6 linked regions of the Rattus norvegicus genome follow. The main gene of each other region encodes a partner of the protein of the gene in region 4 in a complex. Links are inferred from orthologs where the notes say so. Each region holds a gene or a part of one and is shown on either strand. Other genes may lie near its edges.

Evidence for each region.
Region 1: Exosc2 (region 4) and Exosc8 share a complex: the UniProt entries of both Homo sapiens proteins name them as parts of the RNA exosome core complex. The link is inferred for Rattus norvegicus from reciprocal best matches to the Homo sapiens genes EXOSC2 and EXOSC8.
Region 2: Exosc2 (region 4) and Exosc6 share a complex: the UniProt entries of both Homo sapiens proteins name them as parts of the RNA exosome core complex. The link is inferred for Rattus norvegicus from reciprocal best matches to the Homo sapiens genes EXOSC2 and EXOSC6.
Region 3: Exosc2 (region 4) and Exosc4 share a complex: the UniProt entries of both Homo sapiens proteins name them as parts of the RNA exosome core complex. The link is inferred for Rattus norvegicus from reciprocal best matches to the Homo sapiens genes EXOSC2 and EXOSC4.
Region 5: Exosc2 (region 4) and Exosc5 share a complex: the UniProt entries of both Homo sapiens proteins name them as parts of the RNA exosome core complex. The link is inferred for Rattus norvegicus from reciprocal best matches to the Homo sapiens genes EXOSC2 and EXOSC5.
Region 6: Exosc2 (region 4) and Exosc3 share a complex: the UniProt entries of both Homo sapiens proteins name them as parts of the RNA exosome core complex. The link is inferred for Rattus norvegicus from reciprocal best matches to the Homo sapiens genes EXOSC2 and EXOSC3.

Annotation. Positions count from the first base shown.
Region 1 is NC_086020.1:141,079,770-141,084,804, forward strand, and holds the end of Exosc8 (exosome complex component RRP43), read right to left. Parts: coding exon 5,017-5,035; intron 4,397-5,016; coding exon 4,291-4,396; intron 4,201-4,290; coding exon 4,155-4,200; intron 3,371-4,154; coding exon 3,274-3,370; intron 3,185-3,273; coding exon of another isoform or gene 3,153-3,184; exon of another isoform or gene 1,988-3,152; coding exon 1,867-1,987; intron 1,404-1,866; coding exon 1,297-1,403; intron 1,017-1,296; coding exon 901-1,016; 3' UTR 799-900; downstream 1-798. Other genes in the region: Supt20h (transcription factor SPT20 homolog), read left to right, coding at 454-591. UniProt on the Homo sapiens protein: Non-catalytic component of the RNA exosome complex which has 3'->5' exoribonuclease activity and participates in a multitude of cellular RNA processing and degradation events.
Region 2 is NC_086037.1:55,929,702-55,933,861, reverse strand, and holds Exosc6 (exosome complex component MTR3), read right to left. Parts: upstream 2,340-4,160; 5' UTR 2,308-2,339; coding exon 1,489-2,307; 3' UTR 925-1,488; downstream 1-924. Other genes in the region: Aars1 (alanine--tRNA ligase, cytoplasmic), read right to left, coding at 3,726-3,911. UniProt on the Homo sapiens protein: Non-catalytic component of the RNA exosome complex which has 3'->5' exoribonuclease activity and participates in a multitude of cellular RNA processing and degradation events.
Region 3 is NC_086025.1:109,926,579-109,931,839, reverse strand, and holds Exosc4 (exosome complex component RRP41), read right to left. Parts: upstream 3,350-5,261; 5' UTR 3,312-3,349; coding exon 3,141-3,311; intron 1,604-3,140; coding exon 1,397-1,603; intron 1,297-1,396; coding exon 937-1,296; 3' UTR 607-936; downstream 1-606. UniProt on the Homo sapiens protein: Non-catalytic component of the RNA exosome complex which has 3'->5' exoribonuclease activity and participates in a multitude of cellular RNA processing and degradation events.
Region 4 is NC_086021.1:35,358,935-35,363,934, reverse strand, and holds the start of Exosc2 (exosome complex component RRP4), read right to left. Parts: upstream 3,270-5,000; 5' UTR 3,250-3,269; coding exon 3,128-3,249; intron 1,895-3,127; coding exon 1,793-1,894; exon of another isoform or gene 1,781-1,792; intron 1-1,780. UniProt on the Homo sapiens protein: Non-catalytic component of the RNA exosome complex which has 3'->5' exoribonuclease activity and participates in a multitude of cellular RNA processing and degradation events.
Region 5 is NC_086019.1:90,294,255-90,299,188, reverse strand, and holds the start of Exosc5 (exosome complex component RRP46), read right to left. Parts: upstream 3,281-4,934; 5' UTR 3,198-3,280; coding exon 3,050-3,197; intron 1-3,049. Other genes in the region: Bckdha (2-oxoisovalerate dehydrogenase subunit alpha, mitochondrial), read left to right, coding at 3,693-3,800. UniProt on the Homo sapiens protein: Non-catalytic component of the RNA exosome complex which has 3'->5' exoribonuclease activity and participates in a multitude of cellular RNA processing and degradation events.
Region 6 is NC_086023.1:64,371,429-64,376,678, forward strand, and holds the start of Exosc3 (exosome complex component RRP40), read right to left. Parts: upstream 3,284-5,250; 5' UTR 3,261-3,283; coding exon 2,916-3,260; intron 2,341-2,915; coding exon 2,191-2,340; intron 424-2,190; coding exon 272-423; intron 1-271. UniProt on the Homo sapiens protein: Non-catalytic component of the RNA exosome complex which has 3'->5' exoribonuclease activity and participates in a multitude of cellular RNA processing and degradation events.

The sequences.
Region 1 (5,035 bases), on a different chromosome or scaffold from region 4:
AAATCCTTTCTTAAGGTCTTGGTGGCACATTCCACACACATCCTTTTAATGTGCATTGTATTTTGAGAGTTTTAAGTGCCAATTAACTTTATAATTCTGTACTGTGGAAGTATTACTGTTAGTAAATGTCATACATGTTTAGAAAAATATTCCTACTATTTTAGGAAAGGATGTCTGCATACTGTGATCAACTGAGTGTTGGCTTTATTTTGCTATGAATTACTGTAACAAAATGGTAATTGAAGTTGCTGCATTACTGCAGTGTGGACTGCCAGGGCTACGTAACGGATAATGTAATCTCTAAGCCCTTAGCAGGCTCCTGCTCTGCCCTGGTTTGGGCAGGCAGTCCCCTTGGTTACCCTGCCTTCTCCTTCTCTGGCTGTTCTCATTTCTCCTGGGGAAACAACTCCACCCATGCACCTAGCGTAACGTGATCTTTCCCTCCCTTTGCAGCAGTTGCGATTCTTGCAGCATCAAATGGCTATGGCAGCAGCCGCCGCACAAACAGCCCAGCTCCATCGTCACCGGCAGGCAGGCAGCCAGTCAAAGAGTAAAGTGAAGAGAGGCATGCCAACCACTCCAAAATTCTGAGCAATTGTTTTCTCTTTTTTATAAAACAAGACCACTGAATGAAAAGAATTGTATTTCTACTTCATTTCCCCCAAGATGTCAGTATTTTACATTGATATATGTGCACACTTTATATAGAAGCAAAACCCTGTGATTCTTACATGGAAACATGGTTCAATGTTTTCCTGTACATACCAATTACAGAAATAACGTAAGAAGTACTAGACATATCTTTCAAAGAATGTAATTAGGTATTTATTTAGTATAAAAGGCCTGTGCACAGTGTAACAAATACAATTTTTACAGCTGTTTTACAATCGTGGCGTCTGTTCATTTGTGTTTCATGCTCTGAATTACTTCATCCAGTAGTTTGCTCACTTCTTTGTGTCTCGTTACTGCTCGACTCATGCAGTCCTGAAGTTTAGCTCCAGTCAGCCCACTCCCACCTGAAAAGTCAGCCAATGTTCGGTGTTTTATGAAAATTGAAAATCATGGCAAATGGGGTATTTTTGTTTTTAAATCAAACCATCTAAATTGCTGTGGACTCAAGAATGTGGGTTAGTTTTATTAGGAAGACCTACAGAGGACAGACGTCCTAATTTTAAGAACGATACACAACACTTAAAACAGCAGAGAAGTCCATAAACTTTATTTAGCTAAACAGTCAAACACCCCGCACTGCACTCAGTACCGGACAGTGTTTTAAACGCAGTGGAAAGCACATACCTGGCTTGTGAAGACAGCACAGCTTGCCTTCCTCGTCCATTACTACGGTTAAGGTTCCTGTGGACAGGTGCTCCTCCTCCCCGGTAGGATCGACTATCAGCAAAGTGCTACATTAAAAAAGTGTGGTGCGGGGAGTAGGCATCAGTTCTAGCAACTGACTAATTTCAAACAGTACCAAAAGGCATGCCTGCTCTGGCCTGGGTCTGGAAGAGCTAATTTAGGACTGGAGGAAGCCAGAGCAGAAGCAGCGCCCAGCAGTCCTATACTTGTAAATACCTTTCTCTTCAATTTGGGAATAAAATAGCTTAAGTTCCTCAGCAAATGCTGGAGCCCTAAAGATTCCCCCTCACCACCTGGAAAAAGGCATAAGGAAACCTAGGGGCAAGTAAGGTGAGCGAGCACAAGTTTTCCTATACATCAGGATGTCTATGCGTGGAAGGTCTGACCAAAGGAACTGCAGGGCACGGCTCAAATCGCAATTTAGGGCCTGGGGACAGCTTGTTCTCGTGAAGACAGCTAAATACCAAGGCCTTAACTTAGAACCCAGAACGTTACATTGGATTAACTTACTCATCAAACACAGCAAATGAAGTAGCAACTGGGTTTGCTCTAACATTCAAATAACTTTTCTTCTTTAAATTGACTTCCGCTAAAGCAGTTTCTTCATTTATAGTAACTTCAGGCAACTGTACTGGAGAAAGGTAAGAACACATGTAAAGTGGGTCTGATGTACAGCTTCGTTTCTATGCTTTCTTAACTTTCCCTCAGTGTAGCTTAGCCATAACAACTACTGACTGCTTTGACAGGATCTCACTGTGTAGTCCATCTGGCTTCCAGATTCACTCTGGGATAAGAGTTGTGTGCTACTCCCCTAGATTCAGGAGTTTTGTTACGTATGTCATAACAATTGAGGTGAATATGAAGAGGAAAACCGCTTTACAGAGTATCTTATGATCCAGCCAAGCCGACTTTTGCCTTGTTTTATTTTCCCTGAGACGGGTCTTCTCTGTGTCCTCCTGGGCTCCTGGGCTGTCCTGGAACTCTGGAACTCATGCTATAAACCAAACTGCCTCAAAGAACCTGCCTCTGCTTCCTGAGTGCTGGGATTGAAGGTGTGTAGTCTTGAAGTGTCTCCTATTTCATAACACTCATTTGCTCACCCACACTCTTGAAGCAGTAAGAGCTGCTCTTTGGCACTGTTACAGAGGAAGCAAGCAGACTGGATGGATACACATATCACTAGTAACTATCTTCCACTCTGAATTAGCTGGACCCTGTTCTGTAGTCTAACTGGCCTCAAAGCTGCCATCTTCCTCTCGTCCCATGTAGTGATTACGAGCATGCACAGCCATGCCTGGCTTAGTTTTATCATCAAGTCAACAATGTAGAATGAGCAGAATGCTCACAAGTGAAATGCTAAGTCATATCAAGTGGCCTGGGCCTTACCAGGAAGCACCACTATCAGAGGCGATATCTGTGGCCAGTCTGCATGAACCACCTGGATTACAGTCAAAGTACTATCGAGTTAGTGGATTCTGGGAAGGACTCCTGCCCCAGTGACTACTGGGGCAGAGAGTCAATCTAGGAGGCTATAGATCTAAAAGAATATAAAACCCAGAAGTACATTTTTAGAAAACCCTGTAGAGCTGACTAACTTGGGAAAATAACCTGGGCAAGGCAGTTCATGCTTAGCCTCCCAAATGCTGGTAATATTGTTGAGACAGAAGGATCAAAAGTTCAAGGGCGCCCTGGGCTATGGCATACTCTGTCTCACAATTCAAATATCGTGAATGATACAAGACGTCCATAAAAACCTTTAAATTCTACCATGTTGGACCACACAGCCACTTCCGAGTTCACTCCAGCTCCCAGACAGGATGGCACACACCTGTAACCCCAGCATTTGGGAGGGGAAGAGTAGGTAAGGACCAGCTGGACTCTATTTGTAGGAAAATAGTCTTTATTAAGGTTGCTTACCATTCTTTAAAGCTGCTAACAAAGCAAATGTGCAGGCATCCAAAATGTTCCCATCGTAGTCTAGGCAAATAAGGTCACAGTATAGAACCCAAGCAAGCTAAAATAATTGACACAGAAGAAATTAGACCTGATAACACCATAGTGCTTTTTCCTCAATTAATTGAAGAATTACAGAACCATTGGTTAGAGAAAACTAGTCTTGAAAGTCTAAGATCTCTTTTTTTCCTTAAACCTTTAAGTAGGAAGTCAAAGTGGTCAGGTCAGGTTAGGAAAGCTGGGCTGTGACTAGCAAATCTACAAGAGACAGACCTGACTACACCCCTGAATAGAGCCAGAGGTGCAAAGAGGAAGTTTTATTCTTGCTGCTATGTTAACTATAATATCTGCTCCCTACTGTGTAACAAAGATTTTATAGTAATAGCCCTATAAATCTGCAAGGGAAACCAATGTAGGAACATACTATGTGCTATCCATAAATATCAGCGTAAGCAAAACCTGATCTGCTGTAAAGGATAAAAGCATTTTTTTTTTTTTTTAACTAGCAACAGAGGGGTGGGGGCGGGAGAGGGAGAGAAAGAAAACTTAGCTCCCCAGACATGCTATCTGATAACTGGACAGGATGGCACACACCTGTAATCCCAGCATTTGGGAGGCTGGGAAGGAGGAGGTAAAAGACCAGCTGGGTACACAGTGTGACTATCTCATTAAACTAAATAAAACCCAGCTGGAAAAGATTTATGACACAATTGTTAATTTAGACCAATACAGAGTAAAATGAACTTCTACAGAATTCCTTCTAAACTCTAAAATCTCAGGGTTTAAGGTTGATTAATTCCCACAACCACATTAGACCACACAGCCACTTGAGAATCTGTTCTTACCTTCCCTGGAGAAATGCATAAGTCCTCTTTCTTAATTATCTGTGAGCTTGATTTAATGATAAAGAACACAATAAATGTGAAGGCAAAACACACATGATAACGAACGGTGGTTAAACTTTTATCCTAACAGTCTTACTTCTCAATGACATCTGCAATGAACTGGCTGGTTACTTGAGCCTCTTCTCCAGGAGGTCCAGTCCGAAACCTCGATGAACACAGCGGTGGTAGGTCCACATTAGGGACTGAAAGAGACACTGCAGCTGTGAACTCAACTTTACCCACAGCTGGGGCAACTGGTAAAGGAACTGCTTCACAGTACAGGGGATTAGCCACGGGTAGACTCTTCAGGTGTTAAACATGGCAGTGTTAGAATTAGTCTTCTCAGATTGCCAAGCTCAGAGGAAAATATTACACTTAATGTTTTGCACAGTGCTTAAAAACAACCACAGGCTTCATAGTTTCTTGAGTTTCTTCCCTCAGATACCTCAGTCTGTAGTAGGAAAGTCCTCTGCTCACATCCAACTATTAAAGATTTAAATGTTGCTTCCCACTTTATGGAAAAGATAATCCAAGACCAAAAATATTGTCCAGTACTTTAAATAGAGTGCAGGCAGGATTTTAATCTGCAATGATGCTTCCTTGAATTAGGGCAACCGAGTATGTAAATAAAAACTGTCCACACAGGGTTGGAAGTGAAGTTCATGTGATGTCCCCTCTGCTATCTTCTCATAAGCACAAAGCTTTGTGGGTGAGGGGTGGGGGCGTTCTATTTCTGAGCACTGGGAACTGCTATCTATTTCATCACAAGTTAGCTTTCAACTTACTCGATTATTTGTTAAAATTTTAAGACTATTTAACTCACCGACATATCCTCTATCAGG
Region 2 (4,160 bases), on a different chromosome or scaffold from region 4:
GCTGTGGGCAGGGTAGGGAAGCCACACAGACCAGCAGTGCCTATTTTCATTCAACTGTGGTGGTCTTGCAGGAGGCACACGACAGGGCCCTGAGCCCAAAAGGCACTATTAGCTCTCATGGAATGAAAACTGTCTCTTCCCCACACAACACTAAACCTGATGGTGTGCGCCCACCTAAGCAACCTCTTTTGGTTAAACCCACCATGTGCTCTATGAAGCCATAAGCTATCCTTCAGAATAAAGGAGCATTTATGTCTCTATCTTGAGTCTCACTAGTAAGTATAACACTAATTTTGGATTTGTTCTACAGTCATGTCAGAAGGGGGAAAAAATAAAATATGTATTTCTTCTTCTTGGTCAGGAGTTCTTACTTTGTCCTCATAAACTGAGCAGACCCCTGGAATACTTAATAAGTCTCACAGCTTCCTCCACTTCAGCCTGTGAAGAACAGGATAAGTCCCTATACTGGTCAGTCAGGCCTGCTCTGCCTTAATAGCCAGGCTGTAAATGATACCACAGTATTAGGCGGTCTGCATTTTAGTAGACCATTGCTGCCCAGACCCTTGTTCCCAGGAGCCAAGCCTGGACAGGCACCAGGATGGGACCCGGCTTCTTTCCAGAGCATAATCCTTTTCAGTTACCTAACTCCTAGACATGGTTTTGTCCTAAAGGAAAGGACAGGGGTGCATCCAGGCTTCTCCTTTGAACTCTCCCCAGACTTTTCCAGACGGGAGTTTCTCTGTGTAGCTCTGGCTGTCCTGAAATCTGCTCAGTCTTATCCCCTCGGCAGCTGCCCTAGACAATGCTCCCGGGGCAGCTGGTTTCTCCTCCAAAGCACATAACCCTTTCTTTCTTACAGCGGGCTAACAGGAATACTTAAGGCAGTAATGACTTGGACCCTTGACAACACACAATCAACACACACCCATTTCTGAACAGCATTGTTTTTAACTCAAGAAAAATCACAACACATGTTATTTCCAGGCATAAAAATGTTTTTATGTTTTACTTCGAGTAGTGAGAAGGCAAAGTCCCCTTGTCCATCCTCTCAAAAGAAAAGAATTGGGGTTGGGGATTTAGCTCAGTGGTAGAGTGCTTGCCTAGCAAGCGCAAGGCCCTGGGTTCGGTCCCCAACTCAGAAAAAAAAAAAAAAAAAAAAAAAAGAATTATATTGGAGCTGCCGGCTGGCCTGCACAGGGTCCATCCCTTACAAGGCCATAGCCCCAGGTCTCATTTACTAAGTAAATCCAGCCCAAGTCCTTTCCAACTTAGGAATATGGCTGCTTTCAAATTTCTCCAACTGGATCGTGTTTCCAACGGCCTTTTAAACTTCTTTCCAACGCAGCTGTGCAGAGCTTTGGTTCTGTGCGCACCACTCCCCCACTCTCCTGTCTCAGCTCAGCGAAATCGGGCAACCATCAGCGCTGGTCCTTTTGGGAGAAAAGGGCGATAGCAGTCCTCCGCATCCTCGTCGCTCAAGTTTTCCAATCAGGGCGGGGCGGCGGCACCCCTCCGGCGGGCAGCCCTCACCAAGCACTGCTGCAACACCGGGTAGAGGCGCTGGCAGCCTTCCAGGCCCAGGCGCACCGCATCGGTCCAACTCTCAGTCTGGCCGCCTTCCCCACTGCCCAATAACCCGGCCACCTGATTGAGCACGGGCATGAGCGCCACCGTGAGGCCGGCCTCAGAATGCTCCTCCTCCAGTCGCGTGGGGTCCAGCAGCCAAGTCGGGGAGGGCCCCGGTGTGAGGCTCAAGCCGCAGCCCACTACCAGATCGTACATCTCCACTCCCGCGTCGGCCAGGGCGAGCGCAGCAGCGGTGAGGGCCGCGGCCAGCGCAGAGCCGCCGTCCTCCAGCAGCAGCGCGGACACCTCGAGTTGAGCACGAGGGTAGCGTCCTAAGCGCACAGCGGGCTCCAGAGCCTCCTGCAGAGCCAGACCCAGCTCACGATCCTCGCTGCTGCCCTGGGGCGCGCGACGCCGGCGACCGGAGAAGGGCGCGCGACGGAAATCGCAGAGCAAGCGACCCCGGAGAGCAGCCGGAGCTTCACCGCCCGCTCCGGCGGGACCGCCGCCGCGCTCACCGCCCTCGGCCTGCCGCGGACCGGACACGGCGCACAGCACCTTGGTACCTCCCGCTTCCAGGTAGGCTGAGCCCTTAGCCTGGCTCAGCAGCCCTGCGCGGGCGTACACCGGTCGTAGGCGCGTCGGGTCGCGAGCAGCGGGCGTCTCGTCTTCTTCGGCCGCGTACAGCTGCGGCGGCTGGGACTCCTCTGGCCCTCGGATGCGGCGGTGGTCTCCCGGCATGGCGGCTACCGGCGTACGAGCTACTTCCGCCTGCCAGGATGCCTTGCGCACCGGCTCTTCCGCTCGCTTAAAGATACGCGCCCGCGCGGAGCCTATCGGGAGAGCGGTAGGTTTCCGCATTGCCACCTAGCGGAATGGAGGAAGAACGGCGAGGTATTGGCTGGACCTGTGGTTCCATAGGACCTGATCTACTGTCATTCCTTGAATTTTGCATTCAGATTGTTTTATATAAGCTTGCCCTAGGTAAGAACTTTTTGTTCGGGCTGAAGAGATGGCTCAGCGGTTAAGAGCACTGACTGCTCTTCCAGAGGTCCTGAGTTCAATTCAGCAACCACATGGTGGCTCACAACCATCTGTAATGAGATCTGATGCCCTCTTCTGTGTGTCTGAGTACAGGATACTCATGTACATGAAATAAATAAATTAATTAAAAAAAAAAAAGAACTTTTTGTTCATTCCTGTAGTTAGTCCCCTGGCTTGCTTCAACACTTGTTTAATAAATGGACGTTATCTCTCTTCCTACAACTGAATAATAATTCTAACACTCTGAGATCTGTCATAAGCAAGCAGTATCTCAGCTTCCAGACCCTGCTGTTTGTAGATTCATATAAATTGCATTTTAGGGCCGAGCCAGGGTCTTGAACCTATTTCAGGTTAAAGAAGCAGGGATGGGGCAGTTACTAGAAGACATCTCTACATTCATACCTCCTACATTAGTTGTCTGACCTCATATCAGCAGCTTCAAGGGGAGGCACGTTGAACACACATGATGAAAGCCATTATGAGGTTGTCCCAAGAGACTAAGAATGGTGCTTCTTCATGTGAAGCAATTCAGAAGAATTTTCCTCCACCCCTTTTACTGAATGCCTCAATTTCAGCCCACCCATTCTGCCTCTAGCTCTGCTCTCCCAGGGGCCGTTCCTCAAGTTCAGGAGTCTGAGGCTGTACTCTGTGATAACATCAATCAGAAACCAGCCAGAACCACACACAGCCTGTATTCTGCATGTATAGGGAGCTGAGGTCAACCTCAGGAGAAAGGAGAGCGTGGTATCATCTAGTATTGCACATGGTCCTTTATTTTCTGCAGTGGAAGGCTTCCTTCCCACTTGCAGACCTAGAAGCCTCAGGTTGGCAGAGTGACCTCATCTAGACGTGATCAGGATGTTAGGTAGCATTCCTGGGTAGTGACTTTAGACAGATGGCGCTGACATTATGGCTCAGAGCAGAATGGAAAGGGGCAATGAATCACAGGACAGCTCCAGGCGCGTTCCAGTTACTGCTGGATCAGGACGGAGGGCTGCTGAAAGGTCCCAAGACTCAAATGTCTTCGTGGCAGGAGGAGAGCTCCTGGCTAGACTCCTGCACCTGAACATGACTGGTTGTCGGGGAGATGCTTTCCTGAGAGGGCTTCCCTCCCATCAGTTCTTTACATCTCCGAGACGGAGCTGGGCAAAGGAAGTAGCCAGCTGCAGTGCTTCCTGAAGGCAGCCCACGTTCTTGCCTGTGGCCTGGGCAGACATGTCCTTCCCACCACCTTTACCATCCATCAGGCCTGAAACCTGCTGGACCCACTCGCTGGCTTTTAGCCCCCGGTTGGCTGCATTCTAGAAGACAGAAAGGGAAAATGGTAGTCAGCATAGAAGATGGGACTGAGGTGGGGAATGGCAGGAGCCCCCAACACCCATTTGTGTCATGGGTGAAGCTACCACAGGCCAAGACTAACTCTATAGCGGTTACAGGAGAGCAGCTATGGCCAGTGCCAAGGTGAGGACAAAAAGCTAAGCCAGTAGTGAATACTGTCACCCAAAAGAAAGCCTAAGAGGTAAAAGGCACCAAGGGGGTGTGTGTGTGTG
Region 3 (5,261 bases), on a different chromosome or scaffold from region 4:
CATTAATCCAGTGGTTCTTAACATTCTACTTTTAATAGAGTTTCTCATGTTGTGGTGAACCCCAACCATAAAATTATTTTGCTGATACTCCATAACTAATTTTGCTGTTATGTCATAGTGTAAATATCGGATTTGCAGGATATCGGATAGGAGACCTCAAAGGGGTTGTGACCCACAAGTTGAGAACCATTGCATTAGTCTAACCTTACATCTCTTGATGAGCACACATAGCCACCTCAGCCTTGCACTCATGTCTCTGAAGAGTTGTGTAAGCAAGGCACATTCCTTAGTCTGAGGGCATGAGTGAGGAACACAAGTGATGGGAGAAAGCGGACTCCATTTTGAGCCTGCTTGTCCCTTGTTTGAACTGCGATTAATAGAAATATCATAAACAATCCAGGAAGAAACTGCCCTGGGCTAGAGCCAATCAGAGAAATAGAGGGAAAGTGTCTAAAATTCCAAAGGTTACAGATAAATTGCTCATCATTGACCAATCCTTGTGCACCAAGATACCCCTTGCCAAATAAGGCAACTGACAGGCTGGAGACCCCCTCCCTGCTCAACCCTTGCTAAGTAAGGCAATCGCTATGCTGGAGACCCCCGTTCCCTGCTCAAACTAGTATAAAAACCTTGCCTAAATGAGGTTCAAGGTCTCAGCACAAATCTGATGCTTGGAGGATTCTGAGGGTCCAAGCTTAAGTGTGAATAAAGGCTTTGCTTTTGCATACAAATCCAGACCCCTGGTGGTCTTTGTGGACCCTGATATCTGGGCAGGCACAGCATGAGCACTCTTGCTCTTCCTAGCACAAGTGTTCTCTCCACTTAGGGACTGCAGTACAAACTGCTATGTAGGGCCCTGAGCTGCTTTGAAGTGCTGTACATTACAGTGTGTTCAGGAGAGGAACAGGCCTTTATTCTGGATATGGGGGGTTGGCCTCAGTCCCCCAGTAAGATAGAGGCCTCCTGCACATGCTGCCGGACAACACGATCCAGCAGAGTGTGCACATCCCGGGCTGCCTGGGCAGCAGCCTCGAGCACCTGCTCCAAGTGGTCTTCATGCAACCTCGAATCCATCTCAAGCAGTGCAATCTGGCCAGAGGCTGGCAGCAGGGCCAGGGCTAGCTGGGGCCCGCCAGCTGCTTCCTCCACGTGACTGAGGTCCGCTAGTGCTGTGCCATCCACAAAACCAGCCGAACATGCACACACAAAGTCCCGCATGGGTATCCCAGCATCCATCACTGCTAGCGTGGCTGCATTCACACATGCTGCATAGGTCCCACCGTCTGCTTGTAGCACCTGCAGGGGGCATCAGGACATCAGACATCTCATCCTCCAGCATCTCAGGCAGACCTCATCCCCTTAAGCCCCGCCCCCGGGGGAGTGGTTTGAGGCTCACCTGCACATAAATGTCTATCTGAGAACGTGGGTGCAGCTGTGTGAGGATAGCTGCCTCGAAGGTCTGGCGTAGCTGCAGCCCCATCTCACAAGACTTCCGGTCTCCATGAGGCCTTCGCTTGCGCTCACCTGTGCTGAAGGTTGCTGAACTGTACTGACAGTTCACTAGAGCCCGGTCAGGCAGAGCCCGTGACCGGGAGCCCCGGATCTGGAGGAAAAAAGAAGGAATGAGCCAGGGCCGCCTACCTCCTGGGTCACACTCGATGGCTCAGCCTTCCTCCTCTTCTTTCTAAAGTGCTTCAGAAAGCAGCAGCTACTTTGGTTCCAAACCATGGCAGGCGGTTTAGGGCTACACTTCGGTCTAAGCCGCACCACTGTCACCTTCCGCAAAAAAAACCCCTTTGTTCTTTAGTTGCTCCATTTCTTCCTAAATCATTCCCATCGTGGTCACCATGTTTACAAACATGTGATTTGACTGTGTCACCCACACACTAATATTTTACTTACCTTCCAGAAGCTTCTCATTACATGTAAAAGAAAATCTCAATTTCCCCGACCTTCAAAGCCCTGGGTCCTCATCTCCTTGGTTAACCACTCAACTTTATTTGATCTACTGTCCCTCGGTCTACCAGTAGTCTGGCCTAATGTGTTCTAGACCTGACCTGGCTTCCACCTAGAAAGCTGAGCAAATTGCTAGCAAACCTTAAAATGTGGGCTCATTGGTTAAGAGCACTGACTGCTCTTCCAGAGGTCCTGAGTTCAAATCCCAGCGACCACATGGTGGCTCACAACCATCTGTAATGGGATCTGATGCCATTCTGGTGTGTCTAAAAGACAGTGACAGTGTACTTATATATAATAAACAAATAACAAACAAACAAAAAAACCCTTAAAATGTGCATGTTTGCCGGCCTTGCTACACCACTGAGACAAAGCAGCAAAGGCAGGCAATTTATAATGTCTCTGTCTTGGGAGTTTACATTCCAGTAGAGAGACAAGAGACATGGAAGACTGAGGAAAATCGATGTAGCAGGGGCAGAAATAGCCTGGGAGGCCTTTTCCGGACAAGATGTCAAAACACTGGACTGAAAGAACAGGGACTGAGTGTAGCTTTGCCAGGATGTATGAGGCACCTCAGAGATGAAGAGGGCAGCCCAGGAGAAAAGAGGCCCACTGAGACGGAGGAGTTAAGCAGTAAGACTCATGTCCACTCCCACGATGTGCAGCCATGAGCCCCCAGTCCCTGCATGAGACAATCATAGTAGTTGTGGACAATCTGAAGCAGCCCCATATCCCACCCGTGGGATTAAAACAAAAACATAATCACATAACATAACTGGGTTCTTAAAGAAACCAATATTCTCAGTTCATCATGGGACCTAATACTTATACAAATTTGAGGGCCATGTTAGGGATGCAATTCCCCGAGAGGACTCAGAACTCGGGGTATAATTATATTCATGGCTTAGTGGATGTAACACAAAGGAAGGATTGAAATGGAAGTTAACCAAGGGAAAGAGCTCGTGAGGTGAAATCAGAAGAAGCCAGGTCCTCGCAGATGCACGCACATCATTTCCCCTACAACACGGTGGGACAACGTGTGTTGAGATGCTTTCTGCCAGGGAGGACCCCAGAAATTCAAAGATGGGATTTTAGTATACTGCTGCATAGGTAGAGGAGTTAAGCTGTAAGGTCTACTTCCTCGTCGTGCGGCCACGAGCCCCCAATCCCTGCCGCTTACTCGCCTCGTGAGGCCCGTAGACCACCGCCAGTGCCTTGGTGTTGCCCTGCTCGATATAAGCCGAGCCATCGGCCTGCGCAAACACGCCCATCCGCGCCTGAATCTTGCGCAGCTCCCCCGCGCGGCGACCGTCTATCCGGTAACCCTGATCGGACAGGAGCTCCAGCCCGGCCATGTTGCGCAGTCCTCGCTCCGCCTCCGAGAGCACGACCCCTTAGATGACCTGGGCTTCCGCGACTACGACTTCCGCCGGTCCGTTTCCTTTTCAGTCTCGGAGAGCTATAACTTCCGGTAAACTAGTCCCTTTCCGGTGCAAGGCTCGTAGCTTCCCCGGCCTGCTGAATGTACGAGTCACGTCGTTCGGTTCCGGGAAATCAAAGGCCCGAGCCGAGCTGGTTTTTGCAGCTTCTCCTCGGTTGTTGAAGTAGGTACGCCTTGAAGACAAACTTCTCTTTCCGGACGTCCTCGGTTTGTCGGAGGCGCTGGTCCCAGCGGAGACTATTTTTTTTTGGCCCTTTAAAAAACTGTATATCTATTTTTATTGTACGAATGTATTGAACAAGCATACCTGCTTGTATGTCTTTTCGTCACGTGTGTGCTCAGTGCTGCGGAGGTTAGAAGGGGGCAGCCACTGTGAGTGCTGGAATCTGGTCCTTCTCTTTTTTTCGTCTTTCGTCCGTGTGGTTTTTACAGTGGTCAGTTTAGCCAAGCACAATTTTTTGTTCCACATACACGTGATTATTATCTTTGTGGCTCAGTATTAGTTTAGTTTTTCTTTTTTCTTTTTCATTTGCTTGGTTAAATCCATAAGTTTCCCTCCCTTACCTTGGCCAGTAAGTTTTCTCTATAGCCTGGATGCAAGCACAAAGCGCCTGCGGTTGTCTATATGCACCTGTATAGTAGGTTTTGGAGTTCTGATTATTTTTAAAGATTCGGTCACTTAGTATACATTTGGGAGTGTTTTCACTCAGAATATGAAATACATAGTCCTGAGATTTTGTTGTGTTTGTTGGTGATGGGCCCTTTTTTGCTGTTGTTTGGTTTGCTTGTTTTTGGAGACAGGGTTTCTTTTTGTAGCCTTTGTTGTCCTGGAACTCCTTCTGTAAACCATGCTGGCCTTGAGATCACAGATCTGCCTATCTCTGCCCAGAGTGCTGGGATCTGAGGCATGTGCGATATCACCTGGTTGCTGTTGCTTTTTGAAAATCTTGATATGTATTTCAGGTTGGCCTCAAACTAGCAATCTTCCTACCAGAGCCTCCCTAGTGCTCTTATAATGATTATAGGTGGGACCGTGACACCTAGCTTGGAGGTATATTTTTATTGTTTGCTTCATACCTGTGGGGTAGATAGAGCAGATTATAGTCCCACTGAGTCCTCTTTAACAACCCTGTGTATTGTAGGAGCAGATAATTAAGGAATGCTATTCATTGTGGAGGGCTTGTGAGTCTTGATTCTGAGTATGTTGTCTTATTTTCTCACCCAGAATAAATAATTTTGTGGTGGTTTGTTTGTGGTGTTTTTTTTTTTTTGTTTTTTTGTTTTTTTTGTTCTTTTTTTCGGAGCTGGGGACTGAACCCAGGGCCTTGCGCTTCCTAGGCAAGCGCTCTACCACTGAGCTAAATCCCCAACCCTTGTGGTGTGTTTTAAAATAAGATCTTACTATGCAGCCTCAGTGTAGCGGGTCTTAGCTACTTTGTGGGTTCTTTTCCCAGTCGTTTATCCCTCCCGGTTTTACCTCCTGTCACTAGATAGGAGAGGAAGGGACAGGAAGGAGGAGGGTGTGGGAGATCTTTGAATCTAGTTTCTTCCTTTCAGTTTCTTCTTTGAGTACAACTACCAACAAGCAGCAGCCACCCCCGTCGATTGGAGCTTTCGCATTTTTATACTCTCTGAAAAGTTCCCAGAATTCCAAAGTCACACAATCACAGAAACTATCTGCAGCTGGCAAAACCACGCCTCCGCAGAGCACCAGGCAAATCACAGTCAGCTGCTGTGGACAGTCTGAAGCAGCCCCACATCCCACACCTGGGGTTAAAAAGAAAACAAACGCTTATATTTCTGTGTTTTTAAACCAACATTTCAGAATTCTCATTACACCCCAGCTGGCGTAGAACTCTCAGAG
Region 4 (5,000 bases):
ACACTGCTTGCCTGCTCAGGCACTTGGCTGGACCCTCACCCTGGGTGAAATGCTCTTTGTTAAGGTCCAGGCATCAGACTATGTCTCTTTTCTGCTCATAGCTCCCTCAATTACAGCGAGCTCAACGAGTTTTAATGGTGAGAGGTAGGCATGGTGGGGAATTACCCATAATCCCAGCGCTTGGGAGGTGGAGTCACCAAGCTATCCGATACAGATTAGCCACACAAAAGGCTCATGAACACTTGTAAAAATATCAAATTCGGGGGCTGGGGATTTAGCTCAGTGGTAGAGCGCTTACCTAGGAAGCGCAAGGCCCTGGGTTCGGTCCCCAGCTCCGAAAAAAAGAACCAAAAAAAAAAAAAAAAAAAAAAATCAAATTCGGGGTGAACTCTGCCAGCAGCTGCTTTCCCTTCCCCACAGCAAACTGCTCTCTCCCATAATCCCCAGCTCAGTAAGTGTTCACCCCACCCATGCTTAGGCAGAAACCTTGATGCCTGTCACACTCTGGGATAAGCACAGCACAGACCCTGCTGAAGGCACCTCCAAATGTGTGAGGGAAACAAAGACATCCAGACTGGAAACGGGGAACTAAAAATATCTCTATTCCTTCTGTTAGCTTTCCTTAAACACATCAGTTACTGCAACAGCCTTTCAAAGGACACTCTGAAAGCAAGGCATACAGAGGACATAGCCACTGCTGAGGGCCATGCCTGCCATCACTCGGTCATTTCTCAGATGAATACAGTTCCCCAGCCCAGCTCCCTAAACATGCCCTGTCCCCCTTCACTGTCTCCATGGCAACCACAGCAAGTGATGAAGACGTAGGTCAGATCACAGCTCTCTTGCTCTCTTCTGCTTGATCCCTTCCAAGGGCTTCCCAATTGGTACAGTACGAAGCCCAAGTCCTCACTGTCATTGCCAGGCAGGGTGACCACTTGGCTGCCACAGCTCCGGCTTGCCTGACTAATCAGTCCCAGGCTCATTGCTTCCCTTCTGGACGCACCTTTATGGGCTTCTTCTAGGTCCTGGGCCCTGTGTGTAAGTACTTTACTGTAGCAGGTCACTGAATTCCGAATGAACAATCCTGAGTTGGTTACTTTCTTTATGATGTGGAAAAGGAAAGCCCAACGCATGGAGGGATCAAGTGACGTGAGGAAACCTTTGAAGCTCACACCTTCTGTAGTGTCCTAGTTTGCTTTCTGTTGCTGTGATAAATACCACAACCAAAAGCAACTCGAGAAGGAAAGGGTTTATTAGGCCTACAGATTACACTCCATCACGGAGGAGTGCCAGGCAGGAACCTGGAGGCCAGAACTGAGGCAGAGTCTGTGGAGGAACACTACTGGCTGGTTTGCTTCCCAGACTCAGGTTTTTGTTCTCCCCCCCCCCCCACACACACACACAGAGCTGCCCTGGAACTCACAGAGAGCTGCCTGCCTCTGCCTCACAAGTACTAGGATAAAAGGCCTGCAGCACAGTGCCCATCCTTCCACACCCCAGGCCCACTGGTCCAGGGGTGACACTGCCTATATCAATTACCAATGAAGAAAATGCTCCCACAGACATGCCCACAAGCTAATCTGATGGAGACAATTCTTAGCTTTAGGTTTCCGCTCCCAAGGTAACTCCAGCTTTGTGTCAAGTTGGCTGCCGGCACTAACTGTGACAAACAGGCACATTCAACCTAGCAGGCGTGTGACAGGAATGATCCTAGATGACATGGGGAGACGACGGAGAAGGCCTGTGTACAACCCAGATGCTCCGAGAATGACATACACACCTCTGTCCTCACCTGGTTTTCAAGGCTTTGACACAGATCAGCTTGTTCACTCTCTCCACAGAGCCGGCCACTGACGCAATGAGCTTTTCCTCCCCCATGTATGTTCCATGGCCCCTGTGCAAGGACAAGACCACAAAGAAAGGATAGCAGTGTTACACTGGAGGTAACATGGGAGCATCTAGAACATGGTTCTTGAACCTAACAGGCTCCCCCTGCCTCCACAGAGCCATGTGGACATCCCCATCTTAAAAAGTGTGCTCGAGGGGCTGGGGATTTAGCTCAGTGGTAGAGCGCTTACCTAGGAAGCGCAAGGCCCTGGGTTCGGTCCCCAGCTCCGAAAAAAAAGAACAAAGAAAAAAAAAAAAAAAAGTGTGCTCGAATGTCACTTTCCAACAACAGAACTGCACATCCCAGGCAACACAGGGATCCCCACTGGTCCACCCCATTGCCAACTACACCCCTCTTCTCCCCCTTCGTCTGCATTTACGACGTTCTTGTGGCATTTACTGTTATTGTTCCTTGCTAGATGATAAACCCCGCCTTTGGTACCCCAACCACAGGGACTATGTTGAACTTATGCTGCAAGTATGAAGAAATGAATCCTAAGATACCTGTCATCTAATACTTTAAACATAAAGTCTAGAGGCAATGCTATAAACACCATAATCTCATTTGTACCAGAAAGAAAAAACAACCAGGTTTTTTCAGGCCACTGCTGAAATTTTGCTTCCTGCCCCCACTTTTCAGTTGCTTAATACTCCCGATTCTACCAATTCCTGTTGTCACCACCGTCTTCCAGGTGAGGGTACCGGCCTTAGCTAGGTGCTACAGCTAAGGAGAGCACGACTCCAGAGCAGGCCCAAAGTACCACAAGTTCCGATAGCCTGCTAAGTTTGTATTATTGGGTGCATCTATGCACAGTATGTACTGAATGCTTACCTCAACCCCCACCCCACGAAAATCACTGCTTCAAAGTCAGGCTCGTCGCTGAGGTAACACTGAAAGAAACGACCAAGCCAGCAACCCACTGTCTCTTCAGAGGGTTGTAAGAAGGGTCCTGCTCCCAGCCCTCCCCAGGAAAGCTCAAAAATCTTGAGTTTCAGGATAAGGGTTCAAAAGTTCCTGACACCATAGATTAAAGGAGAAATCAGGAACTGACAGAGGAGCACCCAAGATGCAGGAAGTCAGAAGCATGAGGCTCGGAAAGGAGGATGCTCTGAGGTGTCCCAGGTATTCGGTGACTTAGATACAAGGGGACAGGAGGCCTGGGTTCCCGGGCAGCGGGCCACGTGCAGAGAGCTCTGCAGCCGTCTCCTGAGGCCTTGGGACCCCCAAATCCTCACGTACCGCATGAAGCCTGTATCCGTGGTGATCGTGTCCCCTGGCACTACCAAATGTTTTTTAGAATCGCGGCCCAAGCTCTCACTGAGAGGTTTGCGAGCCCTAGGGAGCCTCATCTCCAACGCCATCTTGGCGCCAATGACTTGCGCAGGCGCAGCTCCACACAGTCGCCTCAATTCCCGCCCACCTTCAGAGAAGCGACCAATGGAATGTATAGTGTGGCGGCCATGTTGACTATTGGCAACTATTAAGTTAACTCGAAGAAAAGAGGGTACCAAGCTGCCATGTTTACTATTGGCAAGAAAGCACCCGCGGAAAGACGTTGTAAGGGAATATGACTTGTAAGGGAATTGGTTTGGTTTGGCGTTTGTATTTGAGAAAAGGTCCCGTGTATGGCTGGACACAAACTGTACAGTTGAGAATAACCCTGCTGAACTCCAGAGATTCATGCCTCCACCTCCCAAACGCTCCGATTACATGAGTTTGAGTAGGTTGTGGTTTTGGTGGTGGTGCGAATGGTGCTTTTCGCATCTGATTGGTTTGTTGTTTTATGTGTATAAGCGTTTTTCCTGCGTTTGTCTCCGTACACTCCAGTGTCTGATGCCCACAGAGGCCAAAAGAGGTTGTTGGAGCACCTGGAACTGGAATTACAGATGTTTGTGATCCGCCATGTGGGTGCTGGGAATCGAAACCAAGTCCTCTGGAAATGCAGCCAGTGCTCTCCACCTCTGAACCCAGCCCAGGTGTAAAATTTTTTTTTTTTTAAGTTTTTTTTTTCTTTTTTCTTTTTTTTCGGAGCTGGGGACCGAACCCAGGGCCTTGTGCTTGCTAGGCAAGCGCTCTACCACTGAGCTAAATCCCCAGCCCCGTGTAAAATTTTTTAAAGATAGTGTCTCATGTCATCCAGGTTGGTCTCAAACTGGCTGTGTAACCCAGGATGCCCTTGAACTCCTCTTCCTCTATCTCCCAAGAGCTGGGATTACAGGCGTAAACCGCCATGCTCAGTTGTATGAGTTTTTACCCAAACTATCCAATTTCATCATTTTATTTATTGTTGGTCAAGTCTAGAGATTGAGAAGTGAACCTTGAGTTTGCCATCCAACTCTAAACCACTATCTGAGCAGAAGATAGTGAATACTGTTCCTAGGGGGCCTTGTATTCTACAGTGGAGTTGACCCTTAGGTGCTGGTCTGGATCCTCACCTAGTGCTCCTATGGCTTTAGTGTGCTTTAGTAAAGACCTCTTCTGAAAGACGACTGTTGTAAAAGCCAGCCACAGGTGACGAGCAAATCCGTAGTGAGATACAAATGTAACTTTTATTCTCCTGTTGCAGTTGTTGCCTTTGTCTGCTATCCTAGGTCTAGTTCTGGAAGTTTCTAGCCTCTGTACGATCTTATCTAGGTCTAGACTGTTTTCAGCCTCTCTCTCTCTGAATTACTGCTGAATAAACTCACCCCTTCCCAATTCTTTCAGATCTCTGGCTGGCTGGTTCAACTCAGCTGTTTTGGCTCAAACACCTTTCCCAGCTGACTTATAAGATCTGTCTTTTCTCTCGGCCTCTAAATTCCTCTGCTTGGCCTCAAACTAACTCCAGCAATCTTTTCTAATCCTCTGGCTCCTTCTCATTCTATGGTTCATTTCGTCTTTATGTGTGTCTTACTCGTTCTCTCTTAAATATGTCTCTGCAAAACTCTAGAAATAAAACCCCATCCTTCCCTATTAAGTAGCCTCTCCTCATGAGAGTGGGGCATATCCTACTCTGTCAAATCTTCCTCTGTTTTGTCACTTTTTCTGCCACTCAATTAGACATCACTTTCAAACATGCTTCCTTCTTACAAAGTAACTTTACCTTCATTGTTTGGGATTAAAGGTGTGAGCT
Region 5 (4,934 bases), on a different chromosome or scaffold from region 4:
CTCCACGTTTCTGACATAACTCCCGCTTTACAGCACAGCTGCACACTGATAAAATGTATGTGTACAGTGGATCACAGGTTGGGGCTGGAGAGATGGCTCGCAACCATTTGTAACTACATTTTTGGGAAGTTCACACTCTTCTGTCCTGCTCGGGCACTGGGGACATCCATAGGAAATCAATCATTTAAAAGTTGAGGGCTCAGGGATGTCACTCTGTGGTGGGGCATTCATGCTAAATCCAAAGCAGAAAATAGGATGACAAACCTACACGGGCAGCTTCCGGGGCTCTGTAGGTTTCCACTGGACTTTTTTTTCTTCCTTCCTTCCCCCGCCCCTTAAAAGATTTATTTATTTTATTTATATGAGTACACTGTGGCTGTCTCCAGACACACCAGAAGAGGGCATCGGATCCCATTACAGGTGGTTGGTTGCTGGGATTTGAACTGAGGACCTCTGGAGGAGCAGTCAGTGCTCTTAACCACTGGGCCATCTCTCCAGCCCTCCATTGGACTTTCTGCAGTCAGGTTCTGTGTGGTCAAGGCTGGCCTCGCCCATGCTGTGCAGCTGAGTGACCCTGGCACGAGCTGCTCCTCCTGCCTTTATTTATCTCCCTGCTGCTAGGATTAGGGGTTCAGTACCATCGGTTTTGTTTTTGTTGGGTTTTTTTCTTTTTATCAATTTTGCTTGTAAGGTAAGACACTGTGCTGGCTAGTTACTTCCTTTGCTTTGCATTTGGTAAACTCAGCACGAGTTAGCCATACCTGGAAAGAGGAAACTCAACTGAGGCAACTGAGGGACTGCCTCCATCAGAAGGGTCTGTAGGCAAGTCTGCAGGGGAATTCACACACTCCCGGACCCAAGGCATTTCACTGATTAACAACTGATATGGAAGGGTCCCACTCGCTGTGGGCGGCGCTGCTGTTGGGCAGGTGGTCCTGGGTTATAAATGAAAACAGGCTGAGCAAGCCATGAAAGGCAAGGGCTCCTCCATGGTTCAGTTCCTGCTTCAATGGACTTGGGGTATGTAGGCCAAACAAACCTTTTCCTCCACAGGTTGCTTCTGGTCATGGTCCTTATTAGAGCAAGAGGAGCCTAATGAGGTCAGCTATGAAGTAATAGGGTTAGTGTGTCATTTATCACATATACCCATCATTTGCACTGCTCACTGATGCCACGCCCCCTCCCATAGGGTGTTCTTGCAGGAGCCTTTGAGGTCAGATGTGTCTGCAACATTTTTTTAAAAAGATTTATTTATTTATTATATATAAGTACACTGTCGCTGTCTTCAGACACACCAGAAGAGGACATCAAATCCCATTACAGATGGTTGTGAGCCACCATGTGGTTGCTGGGAATTGAACTCAGGACCTCTGGAAGAGCAGTCAGTGCTCTTAACCACTGAGCCATCTCTCCAGCCCCATCTGCAACATTCTTTTTGAAAGTCTGCAAGGTCTCCAATTTGCACCAGGGCCCCGTGGTTTAGAGTTTTAGAACATGGAAGGGTTCCCATTCTATTTCTTATATCTCGAGAGACAGGAGACGCTGAGTTTAGCAAGTGAGCAAAACCAGGAGCCAGCCTGGGATGAGAACACTATTACATCTGCGGGTGCTTTTCCAAGGAAACCCAATGGGACAGGGTCTTAGCGCCAACATCTGCCCTGAAACCAGAAGTGACCCAACTAGACTCAGGTGCTTACTAGAGCTACACAGTAGCTGTTCCTGTTCTGCTGTATAAACTGTGCTCTCGGCAAGCAAAATAGTCTCTTCTTTCCCACCATCTCTACAACGGGGCTACAGAAATTCTCCCCTTTTCAGTCCCTAGGATTTATTTTATTTTTAATTATGTGCATGCATGCTTGTGCAAGCCCCCCCTCTCTTTCTCTGTGTGTGTGTGTGTGTGTGTGTGTGTGTGTGTGTGTGTGTGTGTGTCCCTGCATGCAGAGGCTTCTAATCCCCTAGCTCCTGAGTTACAAGTGCTTGACAGCCTCCTGAATAGATGTTGGGAACTGAACTTTGTCCTCTTCAAGAGCCACAAGTGTTCTTAACCACCAAACCATCTCTCCAGTTCCCGGTTGTCTCCCTTTTTTTTTCTCCCCAAGACAGGGTTTCCTGGAACTCCTCTCCACAAACCAGGCTGGCCTCGAACTCATAGAGACCCTGCCTCTGTTTCCCAAGTGTTGTGACTAAAGGTGTTATTTCTTTTCTTAAGCTCCTGTCAGTCTTCAACTCTTGTCCCATCTACCAGATCCCTTCCCAGGAAAATGCCTGAACAGTTGTCTTAACTGTCCTTTCTTGCTCTCTCTGACCCACCACTACCCCACACTAACTTACTAGCCATAAAGTGATCAGCTCTTAATATCTCAAACACAACTCCCCATTGTCAACTCCATCTTTGTCCTCTTCATTTGTCTACTCTGGTAGTTTTTTACCCTCCCATGACCTCTCAAAGTTGGTTGGCTGGACTGGGATACAGGGTTATGTGGGCCTCAGCCTCGAGATCTCTCTTTTCTTTCTATTCATTTACCCTGATGAGACGTGTATACCAAGGAAAGGCATGTTTTCTCAAATGATGGGACCAGAGAAGGGGAGCTACTTGTTAGCCCAGGATGGGAGGATCACGTTCAATTTTCAGAGCATTTACTTAGGTATATCACCTGCCACAGTAATTATATTTAAACCAGTAGTGGTGATGTGTCTGTCTCAAAGGGTATTTATGCAAATAAACACCTTAGCCTCAACCGATGATGTATGGATCCAGAAGTGTTTTTTAAGAAATCTAGTCAAGGATAATATTTGCCTTGGTGAAACACCTATTCTGGAATATTCACTCTTAGGAGAGGGGTCTTGCCCTGGATTTCTTCCAAGAGGTATTGACCAGCCTGGCCAAATCATTTCTTCTCGAGTCGGGAGGTGGGTATACGCAATATCTAGAAATAAATTCTCCAAGGAGGTGGGCGTACTTGGTTGCACACTACACAGTAACCGCTCTTCAAAAACCCTTCTTCGGTGAGGATGGCGCGCGCTGAGTTAAACCTTGTTAAAGTCGTACCTTGCAGAAAAGAAGCAGATCCATCCGGCCGGGACAGCAGGTTTTGCTCACAAGCAAAGTGCCGGAGGCTGCAGACTGGACTTCGAGGGCTGGACTCTGTTCCGGTGTCAGTGAGTACCTTGGCGTCTGCACGCTTTGCTCCCTCCATAGCCGCTGACCACGCGCGCTGGGGCTCCTACCGTAGCTTCCGCTCAGCCGCACGCGCAGTTCTACCGGCCGTGTACCTACCGCGCAAGCGCCAATCTAGGGCACTCCCGAAGTGGCCCTAGCACGTGGCTCGGCGTTTACTAACAATCTGGTCCTGCCCACCTCCACCTCCCAATTCTGGCAAAGCCATTGGAGAATAGGGAATAAGGGGCAGGACTTGGACTAGGCCCATTTTGCCCAAGGCCCCGGGCCCTGAACCCTGGAGGTTCAAGTGAGGTTGTCCTTTTTATTGCCTGATATTGGAACAACTCCAAGCAGACGACTGGAGCAATTTTAAAGAATAAAAATGGTCAACTTACTTATTTCTACGTCTTTGTTGCTAGGCGGTTGGAAGAAAATAGTGCGTTGGCCTAGTGGTGCTGAGATTTGAATAAGGCATCTGATGGGACAGACGCATGTCTATCTCCTGAGAAAGGAGGAGTGGTTACTAGCCAAGATGGCGGTAGCGATGTCCGCGGCCAAGATCTGGAGGCCGAGCCGTGGCCTGCGCCAGGCTGCCCTCTTGCTGTTGGGGCGACCTGGGGCTCGGGGCTTGGCTAGATTCGTGAGTACCTGGCCCCCACAGTGTCTTTCTTGGGGAGAAATAGAGACGTAACTGTTATTGTTACAGTGTGCGTGGGGCACCGCGGGCTGTGAAGGAAGAGCAGATTCAGAAAGAAAAGGACCGGGAAACTTTTTGAAGAGAAATTCAAGGGAAGGCTCCCTTTAGAGCAAAAGCAAGGCAGCTACTTGCGGGCTTCGATGGAAGGAGACGAGTAAGGGATGAGACGGGGGTTGAAAGGACAGATCAGGTTTTCATAGGGTTCTACATTACTTAAATTCCAATTGTAAAGGGAGTCGAGCAAGAAACTCGTTTGTTTCCTATGTCCCCTGACCAAAATTCAAGGCGAGGGACTTTTCCATGACTGTCATTTACAGAAGATGATCATGAAGGGAGACAGAGCGAGAAGTTCAAACAGGACCCTTTGCCCACGTTATTTTTTTTTTTGAGACAGGATCTCACCCACTCATCTGGGATGGCCTTTAGCTCACCCAGATGCTTAGATAGGTATCCGAACTGGAGATAGTCCTGTCCCAGTCTCCCAAGTCCTGATATTACAGATGTGCGCTACGGTGCTTGGCTGCCCACTTTTCTTGAAAACACTCGAGAAAACTCGGAATCTCTTTTGATCTATTGTTGATAAGGGCAGGATAACACTTCCAAATGCTGTTGCGATCTGGCGATGTACCACAGTGCAGAATGCTTGCCTCACACTTGCCACGTCCAGAATTTGGCTCCTAGCCCCGCGCTTTTTGTTTATCTGGATATGGCGACATGTGTCTGTAATTTCAGCGCTTGGGAGGTGGAAGGCAAGGAATTTGAGGCCAGTTTGAGCTGCATGAGACCCTCTCTCAAAAAAAAAAAAAAACCCGAAAAGATTTTTAAAAATGCTTTCCTTATTTTTTATTTCATGTGCATTGTTGTTTGGTCTGAATGAAGGTGTTGGATCCCATAGAACTTGAGTTAAATACAGACAGTTTTGGGCTGCCATATGGGTGCTGGAAATTAAACCCAGTTCCTCTAGAAGAATAACCAGTGCTCTTAGTCATCACTGAGCCATCTCCCCAGTCCCCTCAAAAAGATTTTTTAAAAAAGTCTAAGGCCTGGTGTGGTGATGTGTGCTTCTGATTCCAGGCA
Region 6 (5,250 bases), on a different chromosome or scaffold from region 4:
AGCTGATGGTAGGCGGGTCACACTTTAGTAATAGGCCCCATATTCACAAATGTACGTGCAGCACAGATTAGACACAGTGGCTTATTTGTTTTTAAAAAGGGTACACAAACTTAGAGGACAGGAGAGGGGAGAGAGGTGGGGAAGGACTCTGGGAGGAGTTACAGGGAAGAATGGGGGAGGAAGTATGACCAACAAAATACCATTATGGAATTCTCAAAGAGTAAACGGATCCTTAAAGAAGGTGGGGCATTTAATACGCATCATAACTTACTTTCTAATTAAGCCCAAGGTCACTTTGAAGAGCAGCCCATCCTGTCCAATCACACCCATCCCATTGGCGCGTCCGCAGCTGTCAATACAGACCATTTCTGGTTCCATGTCTTTATTAGCAACCACACACTGGCCATAGATGAGATCTCCAACCTGTAAGATTAAAAGAAAAGTTCAGTTCCCTTTACCCAGACATCCTACAGATGCTGCTGCTGCTGCTGCTGGTTCTCTTCCATGGGCAGGAATGCCAGTGACCCAGTTCTCAAGCTAAGGGACTAATGATCCTTAGAATTCAGTCCTCCCTTCACACCCCATGAAATCCTCCAACCAGAAGCCATTTCAAGGCCTAAGGACAGCCTTCAAAACTGAACTGTTCAACTTGCATGTAGCTTACCTTAATTTCATATTTAACTTTATATCTACTTAACTTACATAAAATTCAGTTCTTCAGCTCATCAGCAGCCACATGTAACTAGTGGTAACTGCATCAGTCAGAGCAGATATAAAAACAAAAACAGCATCACTGGAGAATGTTCTATCAGTACTAACAATTATGTTTGTCTAGAGGAAGGAAAAACTCATGACACCCATATTCAATGGAATGTGAAAATGGGATAGCAGTAATTCAGACACTACTTCATGGAAAATTGGCTTTAAAATATTACAAAACTGAACTTTAAAATGAAGCTAAGGAAACAATAAATCTGTTCTCGTCATTCAACATTAAAAATCCTCCCTGTTGAGCTGGAGCGATGGCTCATGGGTTAGGAGTGCTTACTGCTCTTGCCGAGGACCCAGCTTTGGTTTCTAGCATCCTCATAGCAGCTCGAAACTGTTTATAACTCAGGTTTCGGGGACCTGACCTTCCTGTCTGACCTCCACAAGAAGCTGTCACACACTGGGCAGAAACATACATGTGGACAAAACACTTCCCTATGCATACTCTAAAAGTATTTTTTAAGTCCCCACTGTTGTGGGTGATTACAAAACCTGGCGGGACATAACCCCTTTCTGCCTTCCTGGAGCATGTGCTCTTGCACAGGGCAGTGAGAATGAATAAACTGAGGAACCAGATCAAGAATAAACCCAGGGCTGTGGTAAATATACAGGAAAAGAGATGATGACCTTATAGGCAGTCCCACTCAGCCTGGACCTCAAGGGTGGTGTCTCATAGGCTGAGGATACAGCTCCAAACAGAGGGACCCCATTAACAAAGACCAAGGGAAGGAAGGGAACCCAGTGACACTGTGAAGCTTAATATAGTTACGTGGAGCAACAAGCTGTGAGGGGAGACCCCAGGTGCACCATGCCAGTGGATTCCTTATAACTTAAACAATCCTTTTCTTAATAAGATTTTTTTAATAAGTCAACAAGACTGCTGCCCACTCCTGTCAAAAGGGAGCAGACACCTGACCCTGTGGAGACAAAGGGATTGACAGGCAAAGATAAAGAGAAGAACAGATAAGACTGAGCGACTAAAGACCCTCGAGAGCTGACAAAAAGCAGGAGAGAGCTCATCTCATTTGTAGCTCAGGTATTCAGAAGGATATGGCTAAACTACCCAGAAAGCCCAACCTGTCGAAACAAGACAACTCTTCTGTCAGCTCCAAGGATTTACAGCGACCATGAACAGATAACAATAGTGCCGGTGGCCCTTACATTAGGGCCATTGTCCTGGGTGGATTCGGACATGACAGGTAAGGAAGACACAGATGTAACTTGCCAACCAGGTAGAGAAGAACCAAGACTGCTAACGTGATACACAGCAATGGTTCTGGAGCTGCAGCAACCGAGAATCTAATAAACGACCTTGGAGAACTGGAGGGATAGTTGATGCTTTAAAGACAATTCAGGTAGCCCTCTGGATAGTTAAATTTCTAGGGAGTGGACATTTTTTCTTATTGTTGAAACCATCATTACCTGTACATTTGGTCTGTTTCTTTTAGTTGCCCCTTCAAATGCCAGGTAGGACAAAGAAGCTGGCTCACTCCCTCCAACATCAACTTTGAATATATCGCCAGACTTAGCGACTACTATGCCAATCACGTGGTCTCCTTTCACTGGTACATACTACAAAACAGAATAAAAGAACAATCATAAATGATACAAATACTACTATAAAATATCTTCGGCAACTTTCATCGAGGTTACCAAGGGTTGGTCTCAACCAACCCTGCCAACTACTTACTCCCCGGGTAGCTGGAACTACAAAACCGGCCCGCACCAGTAAAACTTTACACCGTCTAAATCAACAGTTGATTTGAATCAAGTTTCAAGATTTTTCGGCATCCTTTATAAGTCTGGTGGCACAAGAATCTTTACATTCAAGGAAACTCATTCCATTAGTCATTATTCCTAAGAGAAAGCTCTTATTCTATGGGAAATTTAACTCCCTGTGATTTGGACTCATTGCAACTGGGACACCAAATGGCTTTGGGTTTTTCACAAGAACTCGCGGAACCTTTCTCTCCTTTCGCCCTTCTCAGGATATGTTCCTATTGTGGTTCCTCTAAAGAAGATGCAGAGAGAGAGAGAGAGAGAGAGAGATCTAGAAGCCACCGCCGCTCTAGACTCGCCTTAACCTATGATCGCACTTGCAGGGATCCCACTTTGGGGGCAGCACCGCCTCTCAGACATCCGCTTACCCGCTTCTGCTGCGAGTCCACCCAATAAACGCCGCCGCCGCCGCCGCCGCCGCCGCCGCCGCCGCCGCCGCCGCTGGGCTCCTTGTGACGCAGGCGGCCACACTTAGTGACCAGCAGACGGTCCCCGCAGCGTCGCAAACCCGGGCCGCATACTATGCGCAGCCTCGGGCGCGCTCCCGCATTCAGGCGTAACGGCTGCTCCCCGGGGCCCCCAAGGCCGTCTGCGTCCTCGTGGTCCGGCAGCACCAGCTCCTCCCCAGGGAGAACCACCTGATTTAGCACCTTGTGCACTGCCCGTGCTCGGCAGCCCGCCACAGACTCAGCCCCAGCGGACACTTCAGCCATGGCAGGCATCACCATTGCAACTTCCGGTAGTCTACTTCCGCTTCCGCTTCCGCTTCCGCATCCACTACCCGTCCACCTGGGTTATCCCTTTTCGGTGGTTGTGAGATTTTTCTGAATTAGACTTTAGCTTTGGAGCTAGTCGCTTCAGCTCATGGGTACTCCTCCTCCGAGTGACTGTGTGTGTAGTTAGCGACCCACCCATCTTGTAATCTCCCCGGGTAGAGTCCATCTGTGAGCCCTCACTTCCGAGTCTCATCTTTCGACTTAACAATCAAGGGACGCTGGAATTGAGTGCCACTGGGAACTGAATAGTGGCTAGTTTGGAGGCCTTACCTTTCTACTCTGCCTACAGAAAGGTGGCTCAGCTGTTTGTATGTTTGTTTGTTTGTTTGTTTGTTTGTTTGTTTGTTAAGATTTATTTTATGTGAGTACACACACATTAGAAGAGGGCATCGCCTGATCCTGTTACAGATGGTTATGAGCCACCATGTGGTTGCTGGGAATTGAACTCAGGACCAGAGGAGTCAGTGCTCTTAACTGCTGAGCCATCTCTCCAGCCCGATAGCTCAGCTTTTAACCAGAAAAAAAAATTTTTTTTCAAAATATAACTTGTTTGGTTGTTGCTACCAATTTACATTGTGTAAAATACAAAGAACAATAGTTACAGTGCCTATCTGTCGCCCTTGCTGTGCTGTTAGCTATACTTCAGATCATTTGTAGCTCAAGGTACCTACTACTTGTAACAATTTTTAGGTGTATTTCTCCCACCTTCTCCAACACACATCACACTTTTTCACCAGTATAAGTTCATCCCTACATGGCTTGGGAATATCGGTAACTCAGATCAATTCTTGCAGCTAGTTAGTTCTTTGGGAGCACACTAACGGCTATGTGAGAAACTGTTAAATCCCAAACCCACAATGCAAGAATTTAAGAACTTCCAGTTTTCTGGCTTTGGGGTTCTTATCTGTGAAACCAGCTTTTTTCTGTAGGCATCTTCAATGAGTGTTTGATTGTTCTCCAGCAGCACTGAGGGCCTTGACATTGACTGACGTCAGATTGCTCTGCTGTCAACTAAGTTTCTAAATTTTTAGGGAAGGGGCATCAAACTTCCTCCAAATCTGGCAAGTTGCTGGCAAACCATTTAATCCCTGGATATAGTAAGGACAACTGACATACAGGCAGACAGGAGAGGGGCCATGGCTAGGTAATAAGTATTGAGTTTTCAAGATGGCTAACTTCTTCCCCAACCTCCTAACTTGATACAAGCTTGGCAGCTTCAAAGAAAGGCTGCGTGGGGTTTGGAGAGGGTAGGAGGGTTCATGCTTACAGATAGTACTAGGGAAACCAGAATTGTTAACCACACAGATCTTTTTCTTCAATAGAAGAAAGTGACACCTGTTCACTTGGAAGGCTAGGGTGGAGGTTGTTGAATAACAGGTAATTTTACTGTTCTGCGAGCCAACTCTCATCTGAATCCCCCTTTTCCTGAGCATTCTCAGTCCACAGAATCAATCCATCCTTATAGGAGAGATATCATGTACTGTTGTAAAAGAGTTTGCTCTTATGATGATTAAAAACCTTTCCTCCCTAGGCTCTTATCTTGAGCGTTTTCTCAGTTGGTAGGACCCACTCTTGTGGAAGAGGTCACAGGTGCTTTTCAAAAACCTTGTACTTTGCAAGGGAGTTTTGATGTAGCCATGTCTTAAGCTTTGTGGTGACAGTTGTTACAAAGAAACATTTTTTTGAAAGTTTTACTGTTTAAATGTGAAAAAAAAAAACAAATAAAAATAAACTGCTCAAATCAGACTCCAGAAGTTTGAACAAGCCCAGCTAAATCATAGAGAACCCAGTTTCCTTCTTACATTCTGTGGATCTCTCGGCTGGAAGCTGCTGCTGCTGTACTGGTTCAAAATGTTCAAGGCCCGCACTGGACATGTCACACAACACTTCTGGCTTCATCCACCATCCAAGCTTTATTCAAATTGAC